2 linked regions of the Caenorhabditis elegans genome follow. The protein of the gene in region 1 interacts with the protein of each later gene in a pairwise test. Each region holds a gene or a part of one and is shown in the gene's direction. Other genes may lie near its edges.

Region 1 (8,134 bases):
GGAAAGTTCACATAGTTGTTGGCCTGTGACTCATGGTGGGAAGCAGTATAATTCTAAATGACGCGAAAAGTGTGATGTTATAAAATTTGGTAAGCTTCAGAGCATAATAATTGATAATCTGTGCAACTTCTACAAGTTTTACAGATTTTGACGATTCAGATCAAATTAAATTAATATTTTTGGTGGCCCAAATTTGATTCAAATTTTTCAGTAGTGACTGGGCTGGTGCAAACATTTTTTACAAATCTATTGTGTCTTGGAAATGTGCCCAAAAAATTGGTTGACAACACGCTTGCACATATAAAAACTGTGCTCTGCAACCCCTATAAAAATTTTTTAAATTTGTGATTTGGTCACTGCAAACACAAAATTGGTGATTGCGCTCATCAAGCTGGTCAGTGGCAACACAAAATTGGTCAGTGCACACATAACCGAAATTACAGTTGCAAATAATATTTCTTATTGAATAATCCAAAATTTTATTTTATTAAATAATACATAGAAGTGAGCAAAGTAGTAACCAGCAAAAAACACGATTCATATCCGAAATCTGCAAAAAGTTGTTCGTCTCGGAACGTTTCCAATTCCACAGGAGCTCTGCTTGGGCTCTTAACTGACAACCAGTTGGGAGATTCTGATTTTAGCCTGAGATCTGAAAAAAAACACTTACAAGTCTGAAAAATTTTTAGAAAACCCACCACGAGAAGTTTTAAGTGTTGTGCAACCTTTGAACAAATCCCCTTTGCAGTCTACAGCAATTGTTGGAACAGGGAATTTTAGAGACTTTGGGAAAGCTGAAAATTTGTCCGTGGGAATTTTCAGTCAAAATTGAAAAATAAACCTTTACTCGGCGGATGTAAATGTATCTTGATTTTTAGAAGATTCTTCATCTCAAATGTTGATAGGTAAAGCTTTTTCTTGATGGCAAAGAGCTGAACGTATGATTTTTTAATGAAAAAATTTCTAAAAAATGTTCATTGCTTACCATTTGTGAATTGGTTTTCTTTACCGGTAAAACTATAAAATCATAGCCAAACCTTGCACTTTGTAACCTGAAACTTATATAAACTATTAAAAATAATCAAATGTTTATAGTCTTACTCTCTTTCATCAACATAGACACCTTCCGGAATCTCGATTTTGTAGAGAATTCGGCATTGAGGAATTCTGGATTGAGTTTGAATGAATGCAGGTAGTTTCAGTTCTCTGTGAAGTCCATAACCGTTCACCTAAGTGTTAACTAGATTTATTACTGCAGTGGTTCTACTTCGATTATCACGAAAGTTCGAGAAGCACTGTTTCATTGCTTTACTTTGTAGATAGGCCCAAGTAAATTTTATACGGGGACCTTTCGAAAAATTAAAACAAATTAATGTTGAAATTATTGTCAAAAATTACAATAAAGAGGACAACTAAGCTGTACTCTCAAAGGATTTAGTAAAAAGGACTAAAAATAAGTTTGGAAAGTCTAATTCTATAAAATAGAGCACTGCATTAAAAATTTTTTTTTTTTGAAAAAGGAGCATTAATGTATAAAATGTTTGACACTTCTGATTGTTAAAAAAAGGTAAACGAAAAATAAAACCAGTGGAAAAATATTTTTAAAAGTATTTAACGTATATTAAAACACTTCACAACAACTTTGAAAAATATTTCTGATATATTTAATCATGTTTTTGAACATTTTTCCTGGTTTTGGTTAATTTTAAGTTTTATTTAAGACTTTTCTGTAACAATTCCTATTCTAATTTACCTTCATATCTCCATGGTTATCTTTTGCTAGCAAAATGCAACTTTGAACATTTACAATTAGTATTGCAAATAGCAGTGTGAATAAACCATCTTTGGCCACCATTTTCCCGATAATCAAGGTCCCTCCTCCGTTTGCCTTTAGGAGGAGGTGTCGTAAAGTGTGGTGCATTGTGTGCATGGCCACCGTGAACCGGTGTGCAGACCCGCGCACTCATCCTCTCTTTTTCTTTGTCTTTTCTTTTGTGTTACACCGATTTTTTTTGAAAACTGAATTTTAAATAAATTTTCTTGCTTAATTTTTCTTTTTTTTTTTCAGGTAAATGGCCGATATCATCGAGCGGATTCGGTCTCAGGACGAGTATCGGGAGTTTTATGAGTTGGCCACCAAAATTCGCAATCAAAAATTGCTTACGGACGCTGAGGTAGGAATTTTGAAGTTTTTAAAAGTGATTTCAAATACAAATTTCAATTTTTCAGCTCCACTCTCTGAACAGACACCAACAAGAAGTATCGGATAACGAAATTAAGTTGCTCACCGAGGCATGGAGAAGCTCCTACTGGAATGTAAGTGTTCTTGATGATTAGGATTCCCACTAAATATTGTTCAGAACGTTGGACGTCAGCTCAAAAACCAGGCACTCGAGCCAACAATTGCATGCAGGCTTCTCAAAGAGATTAGTGAAACTGAAGCTCTCCCAGCATACAAGTGAGTAAAGAAAAGCTGAGCTGCAACCGACATTTTCCGAGTTTTGCCAATAAATTGAATTTATATGAAGTGTAGTGAATGACAGAAATTATCGGTCGAGTTGCACCATGTCATAAAATATTGGATATGTCGATTTACGAACCTAAATTTTTTAATTAATACAATTTTCGATAACTGAAACTTAAATGAGCAAAATAATTTTCATGCCTAAAACCATGAAAACCAGAATGATCACTTTAACATATTGCCCGTAAACTCACATAAAATATGACTGGAAAATTTAAAAAGACCACTATTCCGAAAATGCCATACGAGCCAACATAACAATACAGGAAAAATGCAAATTAAAAAATTCAGGCACGTCGGGCATCACTTTTCCACTCTTGACCAATTGCTGACAATATTGTACAATGAGCCCCAGTCGGTCGCCGAACTATTGAATAGCATTGACAGAAATGATGTGAGTTTTTCCATTGTTTCAACACATTACCTATAATTTCCAGATTACATCAAACGACTCCACAATTCAAGTACTCTTCCACCTCGTCTACTCGTGCGCTCTGTACCCAGAGGATGAGCTCAAGATTGCACAAGTTGTGTGTAATCTTTTGAAGCTTCAACTATACAGATCTGGCAGTGAGATGAGGACAATTCTGCGGAAGGAAACTTCCATATCAACGAGATTCTACAAGCATTTTGTAGAACTAATACATCCGACAATGGTATATCTAACAAAAGCTTTGAGGAAAGGGGTTTTGGATGTTATTCAGTTGGGCAGCTTTTGGTTGGATATCGATGCAAAACAGGTAAATTTTATGATTCTGCACTGACCAAAACTAGGATGTGGAAAAGCTTATACAGTAACCACAGAATTCGGTTCAAAAATTGCACTGACCAAAATAGTGTTACTAGCTGTTAAAACAATTGTTAGTGTAGTATATGTCATCCACAAAATACTTAAAGTTTCATTTCAAGCTCTGTAGGCTTGAAAAGGCTTGACAATTTGTTTAAACAATTTCAATTTTAAAAACCTGGTTTTGGTTTAGCTGCTGGAAAAAAACTCACTTTCAAGAGAGCTTTTCATACGTCTATATTTTTCAGTCCACGGCTCGGTTCTTACGTGATAACAAGCAGAATGAGGATCGCCTACCCGAATACAGAGCTCTCGTTGTTTCCAAGCTAGTCGATTTTGTTGACACTTTTCTGGAAAGTGAGTTGTTTTCCGCCAAACAGAACAAATATAAAATTTTCAATGCATTTAGATATCTCGAAAGCTCTGCCAATGCTTCCACCAAATTTGAATTGGATCATTCGAGACATATTCTGCTCGCTGTACGAGGTGGTCGATGATGTGTCAGCTATTGAGCTGAGTCATGCTTGCAAGGATATGATTGTTTCAAACCTCATTTGCCCGGCAATCATCAGTCCGCAAAAGTTTGGAGTTGTGGATAATGATGTCAGAGTTGGGACAATTGTAAACCATAACTTGGTTCAAATCGCGATGATTATCCAAATGATTTCATTGAGGGAGTTTGAATCGCCGCCGGAAGAGTACAAAGAGTTTTTGAGCCAGTGTCGGGTGAGTTGTCTTTGGAATTGATACTGCTCTCAACTAGAAGCTTTTCAGAACACACATCTCATATCAGAAATGATGGATGCTTTACTTGTGGAGAAACTTGCTCCCGACGTTGAGATCACGTCGCTTATCGCGAACGGGACTGCTGAATCGGATATGGCTACGAAATCGAGTTTTGTTGGAACTGTGGCGGATGTTAACGTTTTGGTGAGTCATCCCTAATATCAAAATTTTATGAAAGTCTAGACAAACGCTCTTATTGTCAAGACCCAAAAGTGTTAGGCTCGAGGGACGTCAGTTTTAGAAATAGGCTAAAAAACAGTGATAGGAAAATCAGTGATGATGTTGGTTTCAGACAAAAAAGCTACTAGACTTAAGTCAAAAGATATCAGGCTATAGACCCAAATCCAAAATCTGTATGGCTATCTTAGTCAGCTAAAGTGTTGTATACCCTCCAAAATTTCACCAGGTGGTAGGATAAGCCTGGAGGTCTTCGAATATAGAAAAAAAGCGAAATTTCTAAATTTCAATTCCAGATTAAAATTATTCGTAATGCACCATCAACTTCTGACGCGAAGCTCTCAAGAATTTTATCAGTATGCGACAAGCTTCCCGCCACAATCAGCTCCACCACTCAAAAGTCACACTTTGACAACCTAGAGGCTTCACCAAAAATATCAACACTTCGTAATATTCATCGAAAAGGTATACACCCAAATGGGAACTTTTTTCATAACTGACACTTTTTTTCAGTTCAACACTCATTCAAACGAACCGGTGACTCTTTCAACGATATCAATGAGCTCGGAGCAAAACAGGGAGAAGCACTAGCTTTTGGAAAAGAGAACTTTGATTTGTTCTACTTAGAGTATAGCCCCAAAAACTACAAAGACGTTGCGGAAGCTGATCGTCTAAAAAAGAAGGCCGAGGAAAGGAGACAGTTGGCTGATTTGGAGAAGCTTCTGGAGCCAACTCCAGCACCGAAGGAGACTCCAGTGGAAAACAATCTTATTGACTTTTCGTCTGGTTCAGCTGAAACTAACAGCGAACATCTCAGTGACTCAACATCAGTGTCCCCCGAGCCTCTCACATCTACAGAAGAACTTCAGATTGGTGATCAAGGAGTTGGTGGCGAGCAACGAGGAAAACTTGCTAAACTGAAAAGTTTGAGCGATAGGATGAAGAAGGGTAAGAAGATTACTATTTTACTAAGTTGAGCTAATTTTTTTGGGAAGTACCAGGCAGAGCGGATTACCTGCGTAGTTAAAGTTCGAGTAGTGAAAGGACGCAGAAATTGAACTGTTGGAGAATTTCGGCATTTAGAAGAAATTACCATTTTCCGGCAATCTGTGATTGCTGAAATTCCACGCACCTCTGAAATACGTGGTTGAAAAACTGATTCTTAACATTTTAAAATGAACTTTAGTCCTCCCACTTTCAATTAGCTTTCAGTTCCATCCAGCGCGAATTCTCAAACATACATATTAGCTAGAGTTTTAGGAATCACACAATCCAACACCCTATCCGACATCCGTGAGCACCTCCGTCGTTCGGGATCATTTGTAAAACCACCTCCGTCAGGCATCCCCACTAGCAGCAGTGAGCAAAACCTACCAGACGTTGCTACAGGTCCACGTGACGATATTCTGGCTAAGTACGCGTCGATATCATCGATTAAAGAGCAAAAACCAGCGCTCGGGAATCTAATTGATGGCACTGCCTCTGCCTCATCGACTCCGAGAAAAGAGCCACTGGAGCCGTATTATTCGTCTGAAAATCTGGTTGGTTGTCGGTAAGTTTTTTAATTCATCTATATTATCCAGATTATGGTGTTTCAGGGCTTTTCAAGACACCCTTCGAAAAATGATCACAGTTCTCGGGAACATTTCCTACTTGCCAAGGATCGGGTATCGCAACGAGACAAAGCAAAATGAGTGGGACAAGAAAGTGCTGCTTGGGAGGTTTTTGGATGGAGTCCTCGTGGAAACTGAGCACAGGAGAGAGTACGGGCTTGCGGCTCAGTTGAGAGAAGTCAAGCGATGCATCGAACTCTTTGAGCACGCTGGGTAAGAGCGGGAATGAAACTATTCGAAAAACATTATTTCAAGCAGTGAAATACGCGATAGAAACAATCTTCATTTTTATAATGGATGACATTTTTCGAAGGTTCATACAGGCTTAAGCTTAGGCTTAGGCTTAGGATTAGGCTCAGGCTTCGGCTAAGACTGAGCCTTAGGCGAAAGCTTTGGCATAGGCTTAGATTTAGGTCAAGGCTTAAGCTTAGACTCTTTTCATACTAGCCAAATTCCATATCCTCAGTATTGATTTGTAGATGAGACCTTTAAAAATTTCAGCGTTGAAATCCTCATGGACCATTTGAAATTGAATGAAGCTGAGCAGGACAAAATCGTAAATGGAATGCGTGAGGAACGTGCTTCACTAATGAGAAAATCGAATGATATCTCTTCGTTGGAGCAAAGAGTTTTGTTGTAAGCATCCTTCCTTTATCTGTAAATTTTCATCGATTTTCATTATTTTAGAAACCGCCGGCTCACCGAGCAAATCCTCGTTGATTTCCTCATGCGCACTTTTCTGGAAACGGGCTTCAACAACAAGCACACAGTTGGCAAAACTCAGGAAGTGACGGCCGTGCTCAAGTTTTACGACGAATTCAAATACCTTCGAGCTCAGGATGAACGTGCCGAGTTTTTGAAGAATCTACTCACATTTTTGAGGGATCGCTTGATGCAAAACGTGGATTGGAATGTAAGGAAGCTAGTATAAAGAAGCTAGTAATTTATAAATGGTTTCAGTTTGCCACGGATACAATGATGTCGCGAGCCATGACAACCATCGAGCGTTATGTGATTTTTGCGGTTTATGATAACGCATTCTACCCGAATAGAGATGCGGATCATCACAGAGACAAGTGAGGATTTTTTGAGACTTGGGAGCTTTCAACAAGTGTAATAGCTAGAAACTGTGATGAAAAATTTGGCTTACTCTTGAAGCCATGCTCCAGAAATTTTGTGCAAAAATTGTGGCTTTTAAGCTTAAAATTGCTATTTAATATTAAGGGAGGGGGGCAGATAGCTCAGTCGGTAGTGGTGGCCGCTAGCAGTCTGGAGGTCACGAGTTCAATTTTGGCCTCACCCCCTAGGTTCACCCAGCCTCTATTGGGAAGTGGAGCAATCCACGACTGGATTAACGGCCACAGCCCCCGGCTAGGACGTGGCTTAAATTACAGCTCAGAGGGATCACCACCAGGCAGTGTACCTGAATCCCAGATCCGCAGTGCATAGCACTTGAAGAACGGATCGTCCTTTAATCCTTTTTTTAATCGAAAACCAAAACTTGAACAATAATTCATGTTATTTTCTCAGGTTGCTCCGTGGAACCATCGCCAAAGTTTCTGACGTAGTCACGCCGGTCAACGACTTTTTGAAAATTCCAGAAGTTTATTTTTTATTATTTGTTTTTTATTGAATTGAAAAAAATTGACTAACATATTGTACACAATAAAAATTGCAGCACCTCCACGGTGAAGCTCCCTGGCCGTCTGCTCAGGCGGAACTCTCAATGCTGGATATTTATGTGACTGCTCAGGACAAGCTCAACTGTGTGGTCCGATGCTGTGACGTCATCAACAACCTGGTGGCGTTGTCTTCGAAAAACGCGGTCGCATCCGCAGATGACCTCACACCGGTTCTAGTTTTTGTGATTATTAAGGTGAGAGAAGCAGTTGAAATTTCGTTTTTGTTTTGGAAAATATTTTAAATTTAATTTAAAATTTAGGCTTCACCGCTGCAGACTATAGTAATAACTAAAAAGCTGTCAGTTATACATATATCTAGTTAAAACATTTATGTAGTTGAACTTCTTTTTTTTAAATTTCGATATTAGCTTGAAGCTTTCAATTTTCATTTCCAGGCGAATCCACGTGCTCTTCTGTCTAACGTGCAATTTGTTGAAACCTTTGCCGGTGACCGCATCGAGTCGGGACGTGATGCTTACTACTGGGTCAACTTCAAGTCGGCTGTTGAATATATCAAGACAATTCTGTGATTGTATATTTTGAACCAAATTATTTTTTTTTGAAT
Region 2 (4,245 bases), on another chromosome or scaffold:
TTTTCTACCGAAAATTAGATTTTATAAGCGTTGGTTTATTGTTGTATGAATCAGCAACGGGACTCATTATTCCTTCAACAACTTGTGTATTAATCGTTTCGAGATGTGACCTGGCGACCTGAAAATTCATATATCATACATTTAATGTTTTTTTTATTTGATTACCTCAAGCATACGTAAATGTGCAATTGTTGGTGGATTGAACGACCCGACGGCAAGAAGAGCGACTCGTTTCATCGTTTTATCACAATATTTATTGAAACTGAAAAATATTTTGTTTTCTTCTGAGCTATTTAGAACGAAACGTTTTTGAAAAAATATGAAAAATATCGAGAGTGATCAGAAACGAAAAATTTTTTTTAAAAGTGTGTCAAAAAATGCAAGTCAGGTGGAAAATCAGGATACGTTTAGGAAATTTCTTATTTATTGAACCTTTTATTCACAAAATCGACAAATTTTTATGATTGGGAAATATTAAAATTAAGCATGAAACAAATTTAAAATGAGAATTTTAATGTGAAAACATTCTAATACAGTTTACTCTTAAAGGGACATGGCTCAAACAAAAAAAGTTGTCTCGCAACGACTCAGCTACAGTAGTCTCTTTTGAATTTTCTTGAATATTATTTGAGACCCGAAGAACTCGGGGGATGTCCAATTGGGGGGATTACCAACTCGGGGGATTGGCCCCGCCCACAGAACCGTGGCTTGCAATACGCCCATTTCTGCAACTGCCGCACGGTTTTAAAATTATTTTTTCTTGTTATTTCTCGCTCTATTGAGAAAAATACAGTTTTAAAACCGTGCGGCAGTTGCAGAAATAGGCGTATTGCAAGCCACGGTTCTGTAGGCGGGGCCAATCCCCGAGTTGGTAATCCCCCCAGTTGGACATCCCCCGAGTTCTTCGGGTCTCTATTATTTCACACTTTTTCCGCTTAATTTTGCGCGTTTTTTTTAAATTTAGCCAAAAATTACCGGAAAATAAAAGTTTTTCGAAATGAAAAATAATTTTCATCAAAAATGTAAAATTGGCCTAGCGCGAAAAAATATAAATTCGAAAGCGCGCGCACCGAAAAGCCTCCTCCCGTTTTCATCCATTTTTGTCTAACTGTCTGCGATGTCACACAAACATTGAATACTCAGTCAACTGCGCCCGTCACCACCCCAGAAGGTACGCAGCCAAATTGGCTACCCCCGACGAAGCCCGTGTGTGTCATCGATGTCTGTTGCGCAAATATTTCTTTTTTTTAGTTTTATTGATTTTCATATATCCTGCAATTTAATTCGTTCACTACTTTTGGATGCTTCCAGAAAACTAATTTTAATCTCAAACTTCATCAAAACTTGAGAAAAAAGTTTATCAATTAATCAAATTACACGTGATGAATAATATGCAGAGATAAGCAAACTGAATTGATGAAAATAGTGATCAAAACCCGTATTTCTTTATCGATTTCATCACAATTTCGTTCCTCGTGAGACACCCGTATGAATCAATAATACGCTTGTTTACCACTCTTCAGTCTCTCGCGTGCCTTCAATCTTTTTCGGAAATTGCTCATTTCAAATCAATTTTTCCACTTTTTAAGTACAAGGATTTTTAGAAATTTTTCTAGAAATTTCAGGGATTCAAAATTGTTTTATCAATGAGAATTGAGATATAGAATTTTAGTCGAACATTATTTTTTTTGTTCTTTCTGGAAAGAAAAATGCAACATTATTTCTCTTTGAAACCATTTTGATATTTTTTCAGCTGAATCCTCCCTCATATCGTTTCCTATGTGAAATTATGCTTATTTTTTGCTTGTAATTTATTCGATCGATTTTTAATGTAATAAATTCAACAAATTTGTATTTAGAAAATGGCCGCCCGAAACGCAGGAACCGCCCGGCCTGGAGGTCCAAACAGAACGTGCCAGTTCAAACTCGTTCTTCTCGGAGAAAGTGCTGTAGGTGAGTTGATACTGAAAATGGAAAAAACCGCTAAAGGTTGGAGTAGAAAATAAAAGCAAACAAGAACAGTTTTCCAAAAAATAAAGATTTTTTTATTCTACTCCGTTCTGTCTGTAGCATATTTCGCAGTTGCTGAAAACCGTCACAAAATTTCGAAATTGCGTTGATTTCGAAGTTTAATTCTTCGTCTTTTGATTGTTTATATGTTTAGAATTATGGGTCATCTGATAGTTGCTAGCATATGACGTATATGCTCTCTTATTTCACCTAAACATCACAGAAAACTATCATTTCAGGCAAATCATCTCTCGTATTGCGATTCGTCAAGGGACAATTTCACGAGTATCAGGAGTCGACTATAGGTGCTGCGTTCCTCACTCAAACTGTGAGTTTTTGAATTTTTTGTGAAAATATAACAATTTTCCCTAATTTGAACAAAAATTTTGACTAAAATGAAAAATCTCGAATTTTAATAATATATTGTTTTTTAATAATATAATTGCGGAGATTTTTGCTCGAAAAACACGGATTTTATATTGAAAGACGTAAAAACGTTAATAATTAAGAATTGAATTTTCGAAATTTCAGGTGTGCCTTGACGATGCAACAATTAAATTCGAAATCTGGGATACTGCAGGACAAGAAAGATATCATTCATTGGCACCAATGTACTATCGAGGAGCTCAAGCGGCTATTGTTGTCTACGATATTACCAATCAAGAATCTTTCCAAAAAGCGAAAAATTGGGTAAAAGAACTGCAGCGACAGGCATCTCCAAATATTGTGATGGCATTGGCTGGAAACAAGGCTGATGTTGCCAATAAGCGAACTGTTGAGTATGAAGAAGCTAATGCTTATGCTGAGGACAATGCTCTCTTGTTCATGGAGACATCTGCGAAGGTACATTAGAAAATTTGGATTTTGACAATAAAAACATGTTAACAGAGTACTGAAATAGATCAAAAACTAAAATTGTTATTAAAAATAACAATAAACTTTGTTTTCTGCGAAGATAGTTTTTGAACTAATCTCCATTAAAAAATGAATGAGAAATTTAAGATTTCCAATTTAAAATCAATTCTCTATTTATTTAATTACAGACCTCAATGAACGTGAACGATATTTTCATGGCAATAGCTAAAAAGTTGCCAATCGGACCAGCACAGGGTGAACCAACGGGAACTGTCGATATGAACCAACCACAACAGCAACAAAAGGGTTCATGCTGTAAATAAATTGACGACTTTTTCATGTACCATCAACCCTTCTAGCTCCGCTCCTCTTTTGTTCTATATATCTTTTGAATCCAACGCCTGTGATCGTCGTCATTGTTTTCCCCTCGAAAAAAAAACACTTTTGAACAAGTTTTTTGTGCTCGCTTTCTTTATTTATTTTCACTCTTTTAACCCATATTTTCTCATTTTTTGTATATTTCTGACTAATGTTCAGCCAGTGAATGAGCTTGCACAATTGGCTCTGCCCATTTGCTTTTTATATGCGAAAACTCCCATTTTTTCATTCAAATGTTCCAATTATTTATTGCTTCTCACCATCAACATCCAAGTCCCGAACCCCACCATCCCACTGTTAGTACTTTTCTCGTCAAAGTTTCACCACCTTTTTGTCAATTTTTTTTCAAAATTTTATAGCATCCTTTCAGAATCTATCCGAATAAATTGAAGTTCGAAAATGTATATACTTGGTAACACAAAACCCTTCGTATACGATCGATATTAGATATTGAATTCAATTTTCTGAAAAACAACAAGGTGAGAATTATTTGAAGAATACAAATGTCCGATCAACCTGGAACAAGTAGACCGCCTCTTCGAGCAGAACCAACGCCCACAAAAAGTAAATGCTTTTCAAATCAATTGAATTCAAAAGAAAGTTAAATTTAAAAATTAAATAAATTTACTTTAAAATATACAAAATCATCTGAGATTTTTTAATTTTTTTAAATTTTTACATTCATTTTTTAAATATGTATCTGATTTTTTTTTCGAAAAGCAATGAAAAAGTATGGAAAATTATTTGAAACTACAGTACTCTTTAAAGGCGCGCACCTTTTTATATTTAACAATAATTTGTCGTGTCGAGACCGGGTACCGTGCCTGTAGTGAAAAAACACAAAGAAAATAGTTCTGTAATTTTTGTCATCAATTTTAGCTTTTTAAATCAAACTTTCTAGTAGGAACTTTGAATTTTTAATTTTCAGCTGCAACACGTCGACGTGCCCGTCCAATTGCAATACCATCAGATGAAACTCCACGGAATGAGGTTACATTCCTA

Evidence for each region.
Region 2: the proteins of rme-6 (region 1) and rab-5 interact in a two-hybrid assay, tested with the Caenorhabditis elegans proteins (one study listed by BioGRID).

What each region holds. Positions count from the first base shown.
Region 1 is NC_003284.9:1,095,084-1,103,217, forward strand, and holds the start of rme-6 (Receptor-mediated endocytosis protein 6), read left to right. Parts: upstream 1-2,068; 5' UTR 2,069-2,072; coding exon 2,073-2,174; intron 2,175-2,227; exon of another isoform or gene 2,228-2,229; coding exon 2,230-2,316; intron 2,317-2,360; coding exon 2,361-2,458; intron 2,459-2,815; coding exon 2,816-2,918; intron 2,919-2,961; coding exon 2,962-3,264; intron 3,265-3,559; coding exon 3,560-3,668; intron 3,669-3,720; coding exon 3,721-4,037; intron 4,038-4,085; coding exon 4,086-4,241; intron 4,242-4,570; coding exon 4,571-4,739; intron 4,740-4,787; coding exon 4,788-5,222; intron 5,223-5,534; coding exon 5,535-5,826; intron 5,827-5,872; coding exon 5,873-6,100; intron 6,101-6,388; coding exon 6,389-6,523; intron 6,524-6,574; coding exon 6,575-6,800; intron 6,801-6,847; coding exon 6,848-6,963; intron 6,964-7,417; coding exon 7,418-7,490; intron 7,491-7,565; coding exon 7,566-7,763; intron 7,764-7,964; coding exon 7,965-8,099; 3' UTR 8,100-8,134. Other genes in the region: pigx-1 (Phosphatidylinositol-glycan biosynthesis class X protein), read right to left, coding at 480-652, 699-794, 842-932, 986-1,052, 1,102-1,229, 1,754-1,930. UniProt on the Caenorhabditis elegans protein: Acts both as a GTPase-activating protein (GAP) and a guanine nucleotide exchange factor (GEF), and participates in endocytosis. Acts by regulating the activation of rab-5 by exchanging bound GDP for free GTP at clathrin coated pits.
Region 2 is NC_003279.8:9,306,583-9,310,827, forward strand, and holds rab-5 (small monomeric GTPase), read left to right. Parts: upstream 1-1,859; 5' UTR 1,860-1,862; coding exon 1,863-1,953; intron 1,954-2,249; coding exon 2,250-2,338; intron 2,339-2,541; coding exon 2,542-2,853; intron 2,854-3,053; coding exon 3,054-3,188; 3' UTR 3,189-3,639; downstream 3,640-4,245. Other genes in the region: nmat-2 (Nicotinamide/nicotinic acid mononucleotide adenylyltransferase 2), read right to left, coding at 9-118, 166-237; uev-3 (Ubiquitin-conjugating enzyme E2 variant 3), read left to right, coding at 3,747-3,807, 4,172-4,245.